Linked DNA regions of Danio rerio. The protein of the gene in region 1 purifies or fractionates together with the protein of each later gene. This does not show direct contact. Links are inferred from orthologs where the notes say so. Each region holds a gene or a part of one and is shown in the gene's direction. Other genes may lie near its edges. The genes, in order: tnrc6c1, cnot10, pan2 and ago2.

The links.
Region 2: the proteins of tnrc6c1 (region 1) and cnot10 purify together in Homo sapiens (co-immunoprecipitation; 3 studies listed by BioGRID and IntAct, with this or other methods). This does not show direct contact. The link is inferred for Danio rerio from reciprocal best matches to the Homo sapiens genes TNRC6C and CNOT10.
Region 3: the proteins of tnrc6c1 (region 1) and pan2 purify together in Homo sapiens (affinity purification with western blotting; 3 studies listed by BioGRID and IntAct, with this or other methods). This does not show direct contact. The link is inferred for Danio rerio from reciprocal best matches to the Homo sapiens genes TNRC6C and PAN2.
Region 4: the proteins of tnrc6c1 (region 1) and ago2 purify together in Homo sapiens (co-immunoprecipitation; 6 studies listed by BioGRID and IntAct, with this or other methods). This does not show direct contact. The link is inferred for Danio rerio from reciprocal best matches to the Homo sapiens genes TNRC6C and AGO2.

What each region holds. Positions count from the first base shown.
Region 1 is NC_133178.1:33,188,874-33,194,029, reverse strand, and holds the start of tnrc6c1 (trinucleotide repeat-containing gene 6C protein), read left to right. Parts: upstream 1-1,960; 5' UTR 1,961-2,564; intron 2,565-5,156. UniProt on the Homo sapiens protein: Plays a role in RNA-mediated gene silencing by micro-RNAs (miRNAs). Required for miRNA-dependent translational repression of complementary mRNAs by argonaute family proteins.
Region 2 is NC_133191.1:8,046,989-8,051,567, forward strand, and holds part of cnot10 (CCR4-NOT transcription complex subunit 10), read left to right. Parts: intron 1-542; coding exon 543-692; intron 693-1,974; coding exon 1,975-2,180; intron 2,181-2,991; coding exon 2,992-3,113; intron 3,114-4,579. UniProt on the Homo sapiens protein: Component of the CCR4-NOT complex which is one of the major cellular mRNA deadenylases and is linked to various cellular processes including bulk mRNA degradation, miRNA-mediated repression, translational repression during translational initiation and general transcription regulation.
Region 3 is NC_133198.1:34,920,742-34,925,857, forward strand, and holds the start of pan2 (PAN2-PAN3 deadenylation complex catalytic subunit PAN2), read left to right. Parts: upstream 1-1,616; 5' UTR 1,617-1,709; intron 1,710-3,814; 5' UTR 3,815-3,824; coding exon 3,825-4,106; intron 4,107-5,116. UniProt on the Homo sapiens protein: Catalytic subunit of the poly(A)-nuclease (PAN) deadenylation complex, one of two cytoplasmic mRNA deadenylases involved in general and miRNA-mediated mRNA turnover.
Region 4 is NC_133194.1:44,210,315-44,214,893, forward strand, and holds part of ago2 (protein argonaute-2), read left to right. Parts: intron 1-565; coding exon 566-713; intron 714-807; coding exon 808-927; intron 928-2,879; coding exon 2,880-3,211; intron 3,212-4,139; coding exon 4,140-4,324; intron 4,325-4,413; coding exon 4,414-4,573; intron 4,574-4,579.

The sequences.
Region 1 (5,156 bases):
AGTTTTAAATAATTAAAAACATGACAGGGCCTGACTTAAGCTTGCCATACAAAACATGCATAAAATCATACAATTCAATGGTAGAATGCATCCTTGATCACTGTCAGCTTCTTCTCGGTCAAATCATGCCACTTCCGAGTCATGGCCTTAAACATGTAATGCACGCATTTTGTTAGATTTAATGCAAATGTGACAGTACTGAACAGAAACACGGGAACAATTGTACATTTATTATTATTATATATTTGCAGTAATTATTTGTAGAATCTAATTAAAATAATATGTTTCTAACCAATTGATGTGAATGATAACACCTTAAACTTGCTATTTCTGAAGCATTTTTTGTTTCCAAATAACAGTTTTTAGCTTAACAAAACTATAAAAGCTGTCGGTTCAACTGGGCTGAGGACATGGACAATGACAGTTTGTGTCTGTAAAGTGCTTTTAATAAAGAACAAAAATCTGAGAACCAGATAAATGACATATTCCTTTACAAAACAACTCACAGAAATCAACCATTAGTCCATTTTAGACATTTTTGGAATGAAATACACTTTATTCACTGTATTTATGACAGATAATGTACGTTTCTAGTAGAATGTCCCATATACAAATGATGTGCATGTTACCGTTGAGTGATGTGTCTTAAATTATGAGGCACATATTTTGCAACCAGGTTATGAGCTATATGGTGTTTTCCACTGTTGGGTTGTGGCTGGAAGGGCATCCGCTGTGTTAAAGATATGATGGACAAGCTGGTGGTTCGTTCCACTGTGACGACCCCTGAATAATAAAGGGACTAAGGTGAAAAAAATGAATGAATGAGCTATATTATGAGATTTCAGATTAATTGAGTGCTTTAGGGAAAGCACATTAGAAAAGACTGTTTACACAATAAACCAGAGTGTTTATTATTATTATGACATAAACTAAAGGGAGGGTGACAGTGGCGCAGTGGGTAGCATGATTGCCTCACAGCTGGAAAGTTGCTGGTTTGAGCCTTGGCTGGGTCAGTTGGCATTTCTGAGTGGAGTTTGCATGTTCTCCCTGTGATTGATTGGATTTCCTCCGGGTGCTTCGGTTTCCCCCACAGGTCCAAAGACATGCGCTATAGGTGAATTGGATAGGCTAAATTGACCATAGTTTATGAGTGTGAATGAAAGTGTGTGGGTGTTTTTCAGTGAAGGGTTGGAGCTGGATGGACATCCGCTGTGTAAAACTTGTGCTGGATAAGTTGGCGGTTTATTCCGCTTTGGCGACCCCAGATTAATAAAGGGACTCAGTTGAAAAGAAAATGAATGAATGAATGAATGAATGAATGAATGAATGAATGAATGAATGAATGAATGAATGAAGGAATGAAACTTATTAAGAACAAATGAAGGGTGAAGGGAATGTTTCCATTTAACCATTGCTATTGGAAGAACACTTTTATTTGCAGTTAGGATTTTCCTAATATAATTGTTATAAAAACATCTATACACGATAGAAAGGCCCTTAATAGTAAGCTATCCAGTTAATAAGTTAACTATAATTAACATGAGTATAAGCCATGTCTATTGGCTAGCTGAAATAGCGCCGTCTGGTGGAGAAACGACGACTTCACCAAAATCAGATTTGATGCGGGACGTTAAACTCCACGACTAAAAATGGATGTAAGGTTTCTTTAGAACCGCTTTGATATAACTACATTTTAAAGCACTGCTGAGAAAGCCTTGTTATTGATTAATAGGACGAGAGACACACCAGAGATAGCTGCTGCCGCTGCTGCTGCACGTCAGCCAGTGTTGTTGGTGGATGGAGGTGGTTCCTGACCCTCGTTCTCATAGCAACAGTGAAGGTGGAGCGATATATTTTAACGGAGGGGTTGGATTGTTTGTGAGTTGACGTCACGTGACTTGTCGCTGGGGAATGGGGGCACTTCCTGTTTTACTCTGCCGAGACTTGAGCCGCTGTTGTCAGTTTCAACAAAATGGCTGCTGGAGCGCCACAAACGAAATCCCAGTGAACGCTTCACGTCAGTGCAGAATCGTTTCAAATGGATGCATTGGAATTTCCGAGCATTGGGACATTAATTCGTGTGGACTCGTTTGCATACGTGTTATCGAGCTGAAAGGCATGCTGAAAGATTTCCCTTTACGCACTTTATATACATCCAAAAGCATACTAAAGCTCAAACTGCCAGTGCGCGCGCGTCTGTGAGGGTGCGCGCGTGAAGCTGCTTCTTAAAATCGCCGAAATGTTACACTTGATCAACCTTAAGCTTGCTCGCTGACGTGCAGAATTGTCGTTTAATGTCCTTTTCACTGTTTGCACTGGTATTTGTTTTTAGAGATTGTTTCTTTCCCCCCTCTGGATAAATTCCACTGCATAATAAGAGGTGAATTCCTCAACTGGAAAGTCAGGCTCGCCATTGCAGTTCACTGCAAGAGCGAGAGAGTCTGACTGCGACTGAATATATCTGATCTGTGTCAGTACGGGTATCGACAACATCCTCCTTCACCATGCAGCTTATGCACCCCATCTGAACCGCAAACTGCAGTTGCTCCGTGTGCGAAATAAAGGTAAGATAAGGCTTTTTGATAAATGTTTTAATGTTTACGTGGGCGGGGTGTGCTTGTTTCTGTTTACAGTGGCAATGCGTCATTTTAGGATTCACTTTCGAGCCTTTATAGTATTTTGACAGCCAGTGACATTCTATCCAGAATTAGAGACACCACCAAAAGCAGACATACGCGCAGGATCTTTAACAACGTGCGGTCTTTTTGTTTTGGTGGCTGGAAATAGCTTACGTGTGCAAATGTTTACTCCCCCGTAAATCAACATTGGCCCATTTTCTAAACAGATATGCGGGATAAGCATCTTTTCTATCGGATTCAATTCCTGCTCAAGATCCATAATGTTAGTCTATATGACTTGTGATTTGTGTATTGCGTTTAGTTAACGCTAGAGTTTGATTGTGTGTTGTGTAAATACATGTGTCCAGTGTTTGCTGGGAGTCCCGTCACATCTTTTTGGTGCTCAAAATGTTGTTTTGGAGGCATATCTCGCTGGTGTTTGAGGTTATGTTGTTGTTGTGGAGAGTCGCGCTAACGTTAACGACAAACCCCGGGCGACGAATTTATAGAGAAAGAACTGCTGTGATTGTGATATTTATGGGTCTTTGGATTAGAAATAACCCTTGCATGTCTGACCAACGCGTCTCCCTTCACTGTGCGCTCGAGGCTCTGTCATTTTGATATTGACGGCAAGATTCAGGCTTATCAAATAAAATAAAACTAGCGTTTAGTAATTATTACGAGACTGTGTCTAAGTTTCCATCGAAACGTCAGTTAACGTTACTACGTCATCCTGTTGTTATTGCTACGAAATTCACAATAAACAGAAGTCAAACAATTTAAGCTGTCAGAGAATGGTTGTCAGTGCTTATTTTCTTTTTCTAGAGTCTTTATTAATACTGAATGTCCACCGCCTGATATATTCACCAATACTGTGCTCCCAAATGTAGCTACGTACGTTTTCACCTCAAAGCAGGATCCCGCTAACGTGCTTTCCGTCTGAGGACAGCACCAATGTCAAACGTCCCCATGACTGTTCATGTGGTGCAGTTGCTAATTTGGCAAGGAGAGTTTCTGCTCCCCTCCCAGGGTCAGGGGGCCCCTGTCAGAGGCAGACCTTTGAAAAGGGCTGTGTGTTCTCCAAGAGTGAAAAAGGGTCAGACAAAAAGAGGCCACTTAATGCTCAGATTACCATAAAGCTTAGGTCACATTGCCTCTCTCAGCTTGTTCTTATGGAGCCTCACCAGCATTATGTGGCTAGGGATTTGCACTGTGTGGCTTCACGTTTGGTCATTTATTGCTAGTGAAATGATCATGTCTGCTGTGTGATTCCTGTGTAAAAGTTCCTGTATTGTGACTGTGGCATTTTGAGCAAGACCATAATAACCACAGATCAAACCACTAATTGCATCTCTTAGGTCAGTGTCAGGATAGACTAGTTTTTGTAAAAAGCCAAAACCTTAAAAATAGAGTCACTGTAATATGAATGAAATGTGTCTTCTGTCCAAACCACAGTTGGTAAAGTGTTGAGTATTGTTCAAGTAAAACTGTGCCACAATTTATCAAATTGCTTTGAAGGCAGCATTAGCTTGCACCTGTTTATCTCTTTGTGTATCCTGCAAACAACTGTTATTTTCTTTTCCTTTTGTGCATGTGCAGTTTTCTGGTAAAAACATTTTACATTTGCAAGTGTACATTCGCACATGTAAGATTCACTTCAGGATCTGTATTTAAAGCCACAATAGAGGATCCCGTCTGAGCTTCCAGTATCAGTCTACGCTAAAGGAAACATTCACTGTTGACATATTTTGCTGAATGAATCTCTTATCGGGTTTTACATTCTTTATAAATTATCTTGAAATTATTTTGTTTTCATTAGTTTTTTTGTTTAACCAGTGGTTTATCTTTTATGCTAAGTGTACAGGCAAAAAGTGTTTTTTACATTAGCTATGTTTGCATCCACCTATTTACACATTTTGTATATGCACATAAAAAAGTGATGAAAACGAAAGGATGCGCAAAAGTTTTGAAAATGCGGTTAAAAAACATATGCACATAACTAAGTAGGATAAAGTTTATATTCGAAAAGAAAACATGCGCAAAAAATGTGTGGAAACACATTTATCGATTTTAGTTAATCAGGAAGTGTCGATTTTGTTCTCTTTAACTCATTGAATGGAAACGCTGCCTTCTTCTTTTTTTAGGCTCCCTAAACAAAATTTGAATGAAAACTGTTTTTTTTATGCTTGTGGTGTGAAAAACCAAAAAATTAATCAAAAATCTAAAAAAAAATGTAAAAAGTTTTTTTCCCCCAGTCTTTCGTTGATAAATATTGTTTATAAAACCATCAATGCCAATAGTATATTATTGATATTTTTTTTTTTATTTGCACAGAGGTTTTTGAAAACCTTTATGTCTTGTCAAGTTTAATATCTACAGTCAAATTCAATCATTTTGTTTATGCCAATCAGTACTGAAGATTGCGCCTGGATCTTTTTATCCGATGCTTACTGGAAAAGTTTTTAATTATGGAAAATAATAATTCAGAGATGTTTCTTTCTTCGAAATCTTAAGTTACAGAAATGATAGTCTTTTGTT
Region 2 (4,579 bases), on another chromosome or scaffold:
AAAATTAACTTTCGTTGGAGTACATTTTTGACGGAGTGCAGTAAGTGCACAATTCTGTGCTTCTGAATTGCTGTATTTAAATTTCTGTCGTGTTTCGGGTTAAAAGAACCAAAACAAAGACACTGTTCCAGCACGTTACACACATTTTCATAGCAGAATATCTGACTTAAGCAATGTTTTTCAGATAAAAAAGAATGTTCACTTAGGATGTTTCTTAAATATCTGCAAACATATCATGGTATTTTTATGCTTTACAAGATTCAAAGACTTGCATACAGCACCTTTAAAGTTACTGTCAATCTCTTTAAGCTAAACAGAGGGAACAACTAAAACAGATTCTTATTGTCTTTATATATGTAAAAATGTAAATATGTTCCATAACGTGATATCTAGCATACATCTTAATAAATACAATTTACAATAAATACAATTTGCATAAATTCTTAGTAACATAGCTTGCTTATTAAAAAAAAAATTCCAGTTAAAACTTCTCTCTCTCTCTGATGTTTGTGCTTGTGCTTTTTTTTCTCCACTTTCCAAAGGTGAATGTGTGAGGTGTATGTTTTGGAATAACCTGGGCTGTATCCATTTTGCCATGGGGAAGCACAACCTTGGTCTGTTTTACTTTAAAAAAGCACTTCAAGAAAATGACCACACATGCGCCCAGATTGGCGACGGCAGTAATGCGCAGGGTAAGATGATCAGGACTTGAGGACAAATTGTGATTTATGGATATCTTGCAAGTTTGTTAGTTAACATTACAGGCGTAGGATATATTGAAAAAATATCAATACTGTGATAATAGTATATGTAATACATCACTTACAATTAAATATATTTTTGTGCCAAGCATTTGTGTGCTGTATACATGGGTTGTTTATTTCCGCTAAAGTTTTCAGTCATTTTTAAAGTCTTTAAGTTTTAAACCTTGACTGTTAAAGTAAAAAAAATTTTACATTTATTTATTTATTTATTTATTTTTTTATTAATTTCCAAAATGATGATTAACAGCAAGGAAATTTTCACAGTATTTCCTATAATATTTTTTTCTTCTGGAGAAAGTCTTATTTGTTTTATTTCGACTAGAATAAAAGCAGTTTTACTTAAAAAAATAAATAAAAAATAAAACATTTTAAGCCTTTAATTGCCTGCTCCACCAAATGGTTGACCATGTTTTGACTGTTTTCAATAATGACTGTTAAAGTCATTTAAAAATGACCATTTTAAATAGTAGTTTACACTACACAGCGTTGTTGATTCACAAAAATAATAAACAAACATAATCCCATTGCACTACTAAACTTGATTTTGCTTTTATTGTAAAAAAAATAACAAAACAGCAACATGTTAAATGAAAATATGAAATATTTTATGGCATACTTAAAAAAATAAAGATGAAATAGCATTCAAAAATGTTTTGGTTTGGTAATTTATTCAAATAAATTGGTCTTACGCTATATTTTCAGATTTTTCTTAGTCTATGTATTAATTACGGTACTTTTACCATTTTTAACAAAGTGACACACTTTAGAATTTTTATCCTATATTAAAATCTTATTTAATTTATGTGCTCGTTTGTTTTTTGTTTGTTTAAAACCCACTACCGCCCATCCCCCTGGTAGACTTCAAAAGATGAATAAAAAAATTATAATAAATAAAATAAAAATAATAAATAAATCAAATAGTTTTACAAAGAAATTCTACAAAAACTTTAAAAAGAATGCATTTTTTGTTGTTTTTAATTGTACATTTATTATTGAAATGTTCTTGCCATGAAAATGGCCTGGGTTGCTGACATGGCATTAAATAAAATAAATACCTTGTATTATTCAATTAGCTCAGAAAAAAATATTAATTACCTGCTTATTTTAGTATGATCATACCATAAATAATTTTTTTTTCAAGTTAGTATTGTAAGAAATATTGCATATTCTCCCAGCCTCGTATTTAACATTGTTTTTTCCTCCCCCATAGCATCTAAGAAGTTCAGTGGTATCCCCATGTGTGCTCTGTTAGCGAATAAGCGCTATGAGCTGCTGTATAACTGCGGGATTCAGCTACTCCATATTGGCCGACCGCTGGCAGCGTTTGAGTGTCTGATGGAGGCTGTACAGGTGTATCACTCCAACCCTCGACTCTGGCTAAGACTGGCAGAGTGCTGCATCACAGCTAATAAAGGGGTACAGACATTAACCCACATCTGTTTTTTGTTTTTGTTTTTACATGAAAGACTCCCCCAACCTCTAAATAGTACACTTCCATTCAAAAGTTTGGGGGTAATAGTTATACCTAGAAAAGTGTCATTAAAGGGATATTTCACTTAAAAATTAAAATTCAATCATTATTTACTCACTCTTTACTTGTTTCAGTTTCTTTCTTCTGTTAAACACAAATGAAGATCCTTTAAAGAATGAATAAAAACCTGTAACGATTGACTTTCATAGTACTTTTTTTCATTCTATGGAAGTCAATGGTTACAGGTTTTCTGCTTTCTTCAGAATATCTTTTGTTTCAAACTTATAAAAGTTTGTAAACTCTTTAGGGTGAGTAAATAGTGAGTAAATAATAATTTTTAGCTGAACTATTTTTTTTTTAAATCTATAAAATAACAACTTTTTTTAGTGTTTACTAATTTTTATTATTTAAATATTGTTATTTTGAACTTAAAATAAAACTTTGAACTTTGAAACAGAAATATAAACATATCAAATAGAAATTGGTGGTTCATTTCGCTGTGGCAAGCCCTGATTAATAAAGGGATTAAGCAGAAAAGAAATTGAATGAAATAGAAATTGAAACATACTTCTTTTGTCGTATTTAAAGTCTGTTCACGTCAAATGCTTAAAACCATTTGCATGTTTTTAAAATTATTTTGGTATGACCAGATTTGTTAAAGTTGGAAACACCTTTTTGTAGTATATTGATGATTTTGAAATATATTTGACATTCATATTTATTTTAATAACCTTTCCTTCATTTGTTTCCTCTTAGAGTTCGGAGCAGGAAACAAAAGGTTTACCCAGTAAAAAGGGCATCGTGCAGGCGGTTGTTGGGCAGGGCTACCATCGCAAGATTGTTCTAGCATCACAGTCCACACAAAACACCATCTACAGGTATTAATAATTTTGGACTAATGAACCATGATTTTGCTAATTATTAATGGAGTTACAAAATGTAGCTGCTTGAGATTGTGTCTGCCTGATTGGAGGGATGCGATTTCCAATTCATGCACTGTATGATGCACTGTAGTGACAGGGTTTCACCAGAAGATGTCATCCTTTTGCACTTATTCTTTTCTCTCTCAGAACAAATAACATTCAAAGACATTAAAGGGATAGTTGGCCTTTTACTCAGCCTTTATTGTTCCAAAACTTTTATGTAATGGGTTTGTATGGGTACTCTTTGAACAAGGCATACATTGAATATGCTTGAATTTTAATCTAGTGTTGTAAAGGTTTGAAAAGTACTTTGATACTTTAATTTTTGGATAAAGTACTTGAAACAACTTGAAATTGCAATTGTGTAAGTTTCATAATAATTTATTGTACCAAATAGTTTCCTATTTAAGCACAATATTAATACATATTTGCTTTTTCATCAAATGAAAGCTATTATTTATTCATATATTATAATTACTGTAATATATTATTACTATAATATTACTATAATATACCATTGAAATCAGAATTATTAATTATTAAATTATTAAACTAATGATTTTGAAGAAAATGTATATATTTTAATGAATTTAAGAAACCAGTATTCATTGACTTCCATTGAAGGAGAAAAAAACACACTATGAAAGTCGATGGTTACAGGTTTTTATTTGCTTAATTACTTATTCTGTCCTCATTTACTCGCGATTCAAAGCCGCATGACTTTCATTCTCTGTTGAATGCAAGAAAATATATGTGTTTAAGAATGTAAGTAACCAGTATTCGTTGACTTTTTTTGCCATAATGTGGCTCTCCAACATTCTTCAAATATATTATTTTGTATTGAGAAAAAACAAAACTTGTAATGAATTTGAAGAAAATATATATTTTTAAAGACCGCAAGTAACCAGTATCCATTGACTTCCATAGTATATTTTTTGCCATAATGTGCCTATCCAACATTCTTCTAATTATCTTATTTTGTATTGAGAAGAAAATAAAATGTCTAATGGATTTGAAGAAAATAATTTATATATATATATATATATATATATATATATATATATATATATATATATATATATATATATATATATATATATATTTTTTTTTTTTTTTTTTTTAAATTTTTTTCAAGAATGTAAGAAACTAGTATCCATTGACTTCCATTGAAGGAAAAGCACAAATACTATGAAAGTCGATGGTTAGTGGTTTTTATGTATTTAATTACTTATTCTGTCCTCATTTACTCGCTTTTCAAACCCTCATGACTTTCTTTCTTTCTTTGTTGTACACAAGAATTTATTTTTTAAGAATGTTAGAAACCAGTATTCATTGACTCTCATATTTTTATTTTTATTTTACTTGGCTGTCCAAACATTCCTCAAAATATCTTATTTCGTATTGAGAAGAAAAATACAACT
Region 3 (5,116 bases), on another chromosome or scaffold:
TCCATTGTATAAACAGATACACAAACTTTTGATCCACAAAAAAGGCATAGCAAAAGTGATACAGGAAGTTAGATGATGTAATGATGTGTCATGTATAAAACAGAATCAATGCTGAACTACTGCACGGCAACGTGATGGGTATTGTTGTATGAATTTTGACAGGATTACCAATCATTTATGACTTATGAAAATAAAGCATGGATCTGGAGAGTACCAAAAACACAAATGTAATAGCTGACTTGTAAAACAAGGTATTTTTTGGAGCGCACCTCTACTTTGCTTTAATTAGAGTCATCAGTACATCATCAGTACACAATTACAGGAATTTTCTCAGCACAGCACAATCGACATTCACGAGAATTTGGGGAGGTAAACCTCTTGTAGATTCTCTCATTCAGAAATTCATTGAAAACAATTCTTTCATTAAGGGCAATAGAAATTATAGAACTTCCACAGCTATATAAACCAAACCACTTTTCTTAGAATCCTGAATGAGAGAGTTTCCCCAATTCGAGGACTTATCAATGAGGAAGTGAGAGCAAAGCATGCAGATCACACACAGAATTTCTCCCATGAATATGAACCATTTGTGACTGATAAGCTGCTGACTTTATACCGTGGATTTTTTTTTTATCTTGTTTCTTTTGAAGCTACTACAGGCCCATAGCCAGGGGGGTTTGGGTGATTCTAAAGACCCACCCCTCACTGACAAACATCTATAGTTTTTCCCCATACATGAGCTCATTTGTCCTATTTTAATTGCTATGCCATCATAAATAGTGAAAATAACCAATTGAAAAAGGTTTTATGACCAAGTGAAATCCTCTGTTGGCTGTCGCTTCAGTGTGACTTCAGTTAATCAGTTTTGTCCAATGCACACAATTATTTTTCACGAGTTCAACATCCAGCTGTGCAGTAAAACATACAATCTGACGTAAGTGAAGTCATCTTTTGCTACTGTATTGTTTTTAAATAGAGAAAATATTCTACAAGTAACTTTTATTCTAAATCTTGGACCTTATTCTTGAAACAAAAAATTACCAATGAATAGGTTTGACGCAATAAAAGTGACCAATATTAAAATGAATTTCAATAATAATTTGGCTATTGATGTTATCCATGAATTTTCAAATGTACTTTTTTGGTAATATGACCACCCAACAAGCTATTTCAGCTGAAATCGAGCCTAAATGAGGCCTGTAACTGCAAAAAGGTCCACTTTTTGAGAAAAAAGAACCATCCCTTTCACCAGGCCGGCCACAGCCCTGAACTACACTACTCATAGACTGTAAAAAAAAGTAGTAATTCATTAATAAATACCTATAGCATTGGAATTTTTCCATATCAGCCATTTTTTTTATTGATTTATATTTTGTTTGTGTAATTAGACGATAAACTAAAGTAAATTGTATTAAGAAATGCCCTCATGTCTTTGGGTCACACCATTAAGTTACAACATTAGGTTATACTGATTTTTTGTGAAAAAATAAGACGTTTCTAAAGAATTAAATATAGATTATTTACTAAATTAAATGTTTCAAAGACTAAATGACTGACAGATGTTTAAATATTTCATCTGTGACACAGTTAAAGCGCCGGTTGAGGATACCGGAAGCAGATTAGGCTTACCCGGAAGTGCGCGGTTGTTTTTGTTTTGAATGAAGCGAGTAGCATGAGCATATGGATACGAGGATAACTATAGTCTAAAGGTATGATTTATCTTGTACAAATATTAAAAGAAGGACTTGTAATACTCTTTCTGAAATGCTGTCGAAAGCTAAATGAAACCGTACACAAGTGCCAGTCGTCATATGCACAGGAAAATGTCATGCACGCCAGTTCATAGAATAATGTCATGCAGGCCAATTTATATTGTACCATAATTATCTTGTAGTGCACATAGACACTATTACAAACATTGATTATGTAACTTCCAGCTTGTTTACGTGGATTAGTTAACAAGCAGGGAAGTTTGATTGTGTTTCAAAAAGTGAGCTGTCTAACGTTACCTAAATCAGTGTTGTTGTCGTCTAGTCTCTTGTTAGGCTAAACTAAAGATATAAAGATATATGCTTGGCAGCTCAGTGGGTTTAAGAAGCTGCTATGAAGTCTCTATGACAGCTTGAAAATTCTCACGCAAATTGAGAAACCATTTGTCAGTTCTTTCAGTTTCTCTGGATTTATAAGTTATGATTTTGAGTAAAATCTTTATAGTTATTTCATTATTTGGAGGTCAGATAACATTTCCTTCAATTGTTATCATTTAGAACAGTTCAATAAAGAAACTGTCCATTTCACCCCCACAATATGTTTATTTATTTGTTGTGTTAAACACATATGTTTGAGTAAACTATTGATGGCACTTCTTCCAGTCAGGTAAGATTATGTTCATATATATATATATATATATATATATATATATATATATATATATATATATATATATATATATATATATATATATATATAATTTGTGTGTGTATGTATGTATGTATGTGTGTGTGTGTGTGTGTGTGTGTGTGTGTGTGTGTGTATATATATATATATATATATATATATATATATATATATATATATATATATATATATATATATATAAACTCATAAATCCATAGAAACTGAACCTTTTTGTGCATGTAATGATAATAAAAATAATTCCTTTTATATAGCGCTTTTCTGGACACTCAAAGCCAAAGCCACACATTTTTTGGGGGGGGATCTCCTCATCCACCACCAGTGTGCAGCATCCACCTGGATAACACAACCAGCTGAGTGGTGGAGAGGAAACAGAGGGATGAAGCTAATTACAATATGGGGATGGTTAGGAGGCCAGTGGTCAAATTTGGTCAGGATTAAACCCCTACTCCAGGGGTGGCCAACCCTGTTCCTGGAGAGCCAGCTTCCTGCAGATTTCAGTTGCAACCCTTATCAAACACACCTGCCAGTAATTATTACGTGGTGTTCAGGTAGTAACTAATTGGTTCTGGTGTTTTTGATATGGGTAGCAACCGAAATCTGCAGGAAAGTGGCTGTCCAGGAACACAGGAACATGGTTGGCCACCCCTGCCCTACTCTTTTTCAAAGGACATCCTGGGATTTTTTAATGACCACAGAGAATCAGGTTTAACATTTCACTGCGGCACTCACTGAGCAGTATAGAGTACCTAGCAATATACTGCGCATTAGGACCCACACAGGCCGCAGGGTTGAGCTCCCCCTGCTGTTTTCACTAACACCACTTTCAGCAGTAACCTATCTTTCCCATGTGGTCTCCCATCCAGGTACTGACCCAGCGCAGCCTTGCTTAGCTTCAGTGGACGACCATGTGAGAGCTGCAGTGAGCTAGTTGCCGGCAGATGTAGTTTTAATTAACTGCTGTGATGTTTCATGCTAATAACATTTCTAGAAACATTCAGTTTTCAATAATTACTTTACTGATAAAACAAACAGCAGAAGTATTAGTAAAATGTATATTAATAAAAAATTATCTTGTAAATTAATTATAAAACAAGCAAGAACAATATAATTATGTAAAGATATATGTGTATATTATGTATCTTAATCCAAAAGTATAGAAGAATAAAAAAATACTAAGCTTATGTCCATATTTTAAGAAGGAACTGGAAACAGAGCAGTGAAACGGGCCATGAAACCAATCATTTATGAGGAAAAATAAGGACAGTAAAATGATCAGTAAATAAATACTTTTGGTTGATGTGTTGGGAATACTCATGTGAAAGCATACAAACAGGAAAATATATATATAAGGGACCTAAATTACTTAATTTCACAATTTTTTTTTGTACCCCATCAGCACCGTCCTCATGATGAACTTCGAGGGTCTGGACCCGGGTTTGGGCGATTATGCGCCTGGCCTGCATGGTGGCCTGGAGCCCGGTCTGGACTCTTCCCTGGACCCGCGGCTCGACCCGGCGCTACTGCAGGGTGTGGAGATCGACCCCGATGGGCTGGCTGTGTCAGAGTCTGTGCACATAGTGGAAGGCATGTACTCGGAGTTGCACAGCGTGGCAGCTGAAGTCGGGATCCCTGTGACAGCCACACACTTCGATCTGCAGGAGGAGTTGCTCTGGATGGGGAACCACCGGGTGAAGAGACACATTCATTACTGTTTTTACACTGCTGCATGATTGTTTAGAATGCTACGATTATTTTGGGGTGTTTGGAAGTGTGTTATGCTCATCAAAGCAATTATTTGATCAAAAATACATTATGTAACGTAAAATCTATTTTATAATTTAAGTGTACTGTTTCTTTTTTCAAACTTTAAAAAAATATTTATTTATTTTTGTGATGGCAAAGCAGAATTTTAGGCCTTCAGATGATGCTGAAGTAATTATCATTTTTTTATGAATTAATCATTATAAGTGCTCAGTTTTAAAGAGATGGTTTACACAAAAAGGTAAATTTGTTGGTAATTTGAAGTGAAGTGAGCTTTTACTAGCTCTCAGATTTTGAAATGTTTTAAAATAAGCCTCTCCTGCTCACCAAGGCTGCATTTATTTAATTAAAAATACAGTACAAATTGTGAAATGTTATTGCACTATAAAATAACTGTTTAAAAGTAGTTTATCAATTAATTTAATAATTTATTCCAGTGATTTTAAAGAGGAATTTTCAGCTTCATTACTCCATTCTTCAGTCACATGATCCTTACAAAGTCACTCTAATATTAATTATTATTATTATCATTATTAATATTACTATTATTATTACATTAATAATAATTGAATGATAATACTAATATATATATATATATATATATATATATAATTTTTTTTATCATTTGCTTTATTGGGTTCATCTTAGGTCAGACAAAAAATAACACTTTAAATAGAATAAGAAATAATATTCATACATATATGCATAAAATGCCATAAAAATCAGGCACTGATACATTTCACCAAACATGTAATTATCAGGAAAACATAATTATACACTAAATAAGTATAGAAATAATAAGGTTAAATATCACATATATACATAAACACATACATGCATAAGATAACATTAGCCCCTATTTTTGTTTAACAGAGAGAAGATTTTTTCAACACATTTCTAATCATATTAGTTTTAATAACTCGTTTCTAATAACTGA
Region 4 (4,579 bases), on another chromosome or scaffold:
AGCTTTATAAACGTTTTGCTAACAGTGATGAATGTTTGCGTCTGACAGCAGGTTTTGATCTTTGGTTTTATTCTATAACACTGAACTTATTTTTCTGGACTTTTTTTTTTTTTTTTTTACTTTGAGAGTGTTTAAACAAGAGAAAAGAGTGAAAATGCTAATTCCTGTCTGAGAAAAATGTGTAGTAAGGGATTTTACAGCCTTAAAGCATCTATAATAATTGTACAAAAAATAATAAAGCTGACTACAAGGATTTCGCCTGTTGAGAGTTATTTTTAGAATGCAACTCCCGCAAATAAAGAGGGACCTCTGTACACCCAAAAAATATTTTTGCTTCTTGTTCAAACTGCTTATTTAATATAAGCTGAAAAAACACTAAAAAAAGCAGGACAAATTTAATGCATTAAACTTGACGGATTTGTGTTGAGACCACATGGTTGAATTGTGTGGAACCATGCGTTTTGTATAGTGTATTCTATTTTTTGTCATCACATTTAATATTTCTCATTGAAAGATTCATTATTTTGAAGCTGATGTCTTTAAAATGTATTTTGTTTGTCTCTAGGTTTCCTTTGCAGCAAGAGAATGGTCAGACCATTGAATGCACTGTCGCCCAGTACTTCAAGGATAAGTACAAACTGGTGCTTCGATACCCACATCTCCCATGTTTACAAGTTGGTCAGGAGCAGAAACACACCTACCTTCCGTTGGAGGTTGGTTGAAACCACATCCTGGACTTGCTTTTCCCCCTTTTTCTCTCATTTCCTTTTCTAAAATTTGTTGTTATTATTATTTAAAAAATTTCAGGTCTGCAACATTGTAGCCGGGCAGCGATGCATCAAGAAACTGACAGACAATCAGACCTCCACTATGATACGTGCCACAGCCAGGTCTGCGCCCGACCGTCAGGACGAGATCAGCAAACTGGTATGCTCTTTATCCATTCTTTTGCAGTTTCCCAAGCCTCGTATACACCTGGTATTTCATCAATCCAATCTCAAATGAACAACAATGAATACAGATGTAAATTAAGTCTACAATGTTTTTCAACCACCTCTAGAGATAGTTGGATTGGATTGCTTTTGTAGTGTAAACATTTGTGGTTGAATGCAATCACACGGCCACAACAGACCACCTTCTCTCTGCCTACTGACTAAGCACATGGTTGTTGTGGGTTGGGTTGTGAAAGCACACAAAAACAAGATACAGTGGTCTCTTGTTTTTTGCAGCAGTCACATTCTAAAAAAAAAACCTGCAATAGATGAAATACTTTCACATTTATTATACTTTTTTTTTTACATTGTTTTCTTTATCTTAAAGCTGTAAAAACCCCTCATTACACACTTTCTACACTTTTCTCTCTTATTTAAACACATTGAAAGTTCAAAATATAAGTCCAGTATTATAGAATGTAACTAAAGACCTAGTTTTTCAGGCCCAAACATTTGTTTGAGAAGATAATTTTATTCTGTAATGGCGCCCCACAGCCTTGTAACGTCTATCTTCCTTTAATCATGTCCAGAAGAACTTTTTGTTTTATGGTCAGCATCTTCCTCTTATTTTTGGGTGCTACCGAGGGCACCTTTGTTAGTGCAGAACGTTTTGTCGACATTGTGGGGTTTGTTGGGGAGAAAACTTGCAAACAGAGATTTATTGACTGTAGTCTACAGCCAATCAGGACACAGAACAATGCACTAATCAAGACGCAGAACACAATGCGCTGTAAAAAAAAAAGCATGTCAAATTCCACAAAATCTGCAAGGCTACGAAAGGTGAACCCCTTATAGTAAGGGACCACTTTATTCATATGTAAGTGTTATATCATAACACACAGTATACAATTGAAATTGTAGTTGTCATCCACATCATTTCTTTGCTAGCTTTGCCCCTCACTGCGTAATATGTGTTCACGTAAAACTTGTGGAACTTGTAGTTCTTCCACAAAAGTAATGTTGGAAGAGTCTTAAAGAAATTCAAACACAAGAGAGACTTTAAACTGATGTTAAATAAAGCTGGACCATTTCATATGGGGTATATGCACACAGACTTTTAATTTCAGTAAAGCCCCAGCCTCAGGATTTCCTTCTTAATTGTCATCCCATATAAAATCGCCACGTTTAAGATCTTTTTTTTTTTTTTTTTTTTTTTTTTTTAAGAAATCAGAAGCAATCTTCCTTGTCTGGCTGAGATACAATATGAAGTGGGTATCGGACCAAACAAGATGCACTGCGTTAAATTATATTTCTCTGCGCCCTGTCTTTAAAATATGGAAATTATGACATATATAAAACAAATGTATGTTAAAATTTTCAGTTTAACAGTTGTTTATTTTTTTCACATTTTTTCCCCTCCCTTCATTTTATTTTAATATATTTTAATTTCTGTCTAAATTATTTTATTTCTTTATTTTACATTTGCCAAGCCTATTGTGACTCGTTGTGTGTGTATATATGTACAATAGATGAGTGAACATAAAATGGAACTTTTAATAACTTGTATTATATGTATGTATATATCATGACATGATGTAAAACAGATTAAAATAGGCATAACATTGTTTAGAAATGGTGCAGTGGGGCGGGGGGCTCTGTTGGAGCAAAAATTATTTGTCGCTGTTTGTCAAATAATTTTGAAATTAATGTTTTATTGACCAATACATTAATAAAATTTTTTGGAAAAAGTACTGAATAATATTTACAACTGAATAGTATTGTATTTTCAATGGAGTTTCTGTGCTAGCCTGCTTTCATCGGAAGTTCATCATTGGCTGAACAACACTAGCTGTGCATATAGCCCATTGCAACACTGAAAATGGACATTAGTAACAGGTGTGAACCAGAGCATTAAATTTCACCCTTACCTTCATTTGTTTGCAACAGATGAGAAGTGCCAACTTCAATACAGATCCTTATGTGCGTGAGTTTGGAGTCATGGTAAGAGACGATATGACTGAAGTCAATGGTCGGGTTCTTCAAGCACCGTCGATTCTCTATGGTGGAAGGGTAAGAATCTCCTCTGCTCAACTCAGCATTTGGTTGAATCCCTGTCTAATTTGGTCATGTCTTTGGCTGTTTCAGAACAAAGCAATAGCAACCCCAGTCCAGGGCGTGTGGGACATGAGGAACAAGCAGTTCCACACAGGGATTGAAATCAAAGTTTGGGCCATTGCCTGCTTTGCCCCACAGAGGCAGTGCACAGAACTCCTGCTGAAGTAAGTCAACTTTAAAGTACACATGAACCAGAAGCTGCGTTCGCTTTTTTTTTTTCATATTGTGATGCAGTCGCTATAGAAACAGAATATTAAATAAGAAATCAGTTGCCGTGACTTGTTTTTTCTGCTGCAAGCTGATTGGATGTAGCAAAGTAGGCATTTCATTCAGAAAGATCAGGAAAGGGCTTCGGGAGAGTTATTATAATCTAACAGTCATCACCTCATCAGTTCTGTTGGCTGTCAAAATTGACAGCTGAAGGAGAGTTGAGTATGTTGGCCACGCCCAATACCTTAGACAAACGTAATCTGAGAAGTTAACCAAAAAACCAGGAAGTGCATTTTCAGATTTCAATTATTAATTATTATTATTATTATTATTATTATTATTAATAAAATGCACAGATAAATTGTTCACCACAACTAGCAATATCAGCTAAAAAATCATATGGTTAGTTTTGATTTCATTCATGCATTCATTCATTTTCTTATCGTATTAGTCCCTTTATCAATCTGGGGTCGCCACAGCGGAATGCACCGCCAACTTTCCAGCACGTTTTTACGCAGCGGATGACCTTCCAGCTGCAATCCATCTCTGGGAAACATCCCCACACACCCATTCATACACTACGGACAATTTAGCTTACTCAATTCACCTGTACTGCATGTCTTTGGACTGTGGGGGAAACCAGAGCACCCGAAGGAAACCCATGCGAACCCAGGGAGAACATGCAAACTCCAGGCTCAAATCAGTGACCCAGCGACCTTCTTGCTGTGAGGCGACAGTGCTACCTACTGCGCCACTACTTTGCCTGTTTTTATTTGTACCTTAATCTGCCTGTTTTGTCATAGAGAAATATTAGCATTTAAGGAAATTATTTTACAAAAGTAAATACTGACCCAGATTTTTATACTATGTTTGTATCCTCAGGGCCTTCACTGACCAGCTTCGTAAGATCTCACGTGATGCTGGGATGCCCATTCAGGGCCAGCCGTGCTTTTGCAAATATGCCCAGGGAGCAGACAGTGTGGAGCCCATGTTCAAACACCTCAAGTACACTTATCAAGGGTTACAGTTGGTGGTGGTCATCTTACCCGGCAAGACTCCTGTTTATGGTAATTTAATTATTATTATTATTATTTTTTTTTTCATCTCATATCTTTAGTGTATTTTTTACACACTCTAAATGCTAAAATTCTTACAGCTGAGGTGAAGCGTGTTGGAGACACTGTTCTCGGCATGGCCACGCAGTGTGTCCAGGTGAAGAATGTGCAGAAGACCACACCTCAAACCCTTTCTAACCTCTGCCTCAAGATTAACGTCAAACTGGGTGGAGTCAACAACATTCTTCTTCCACAGGGCAGGTGAGG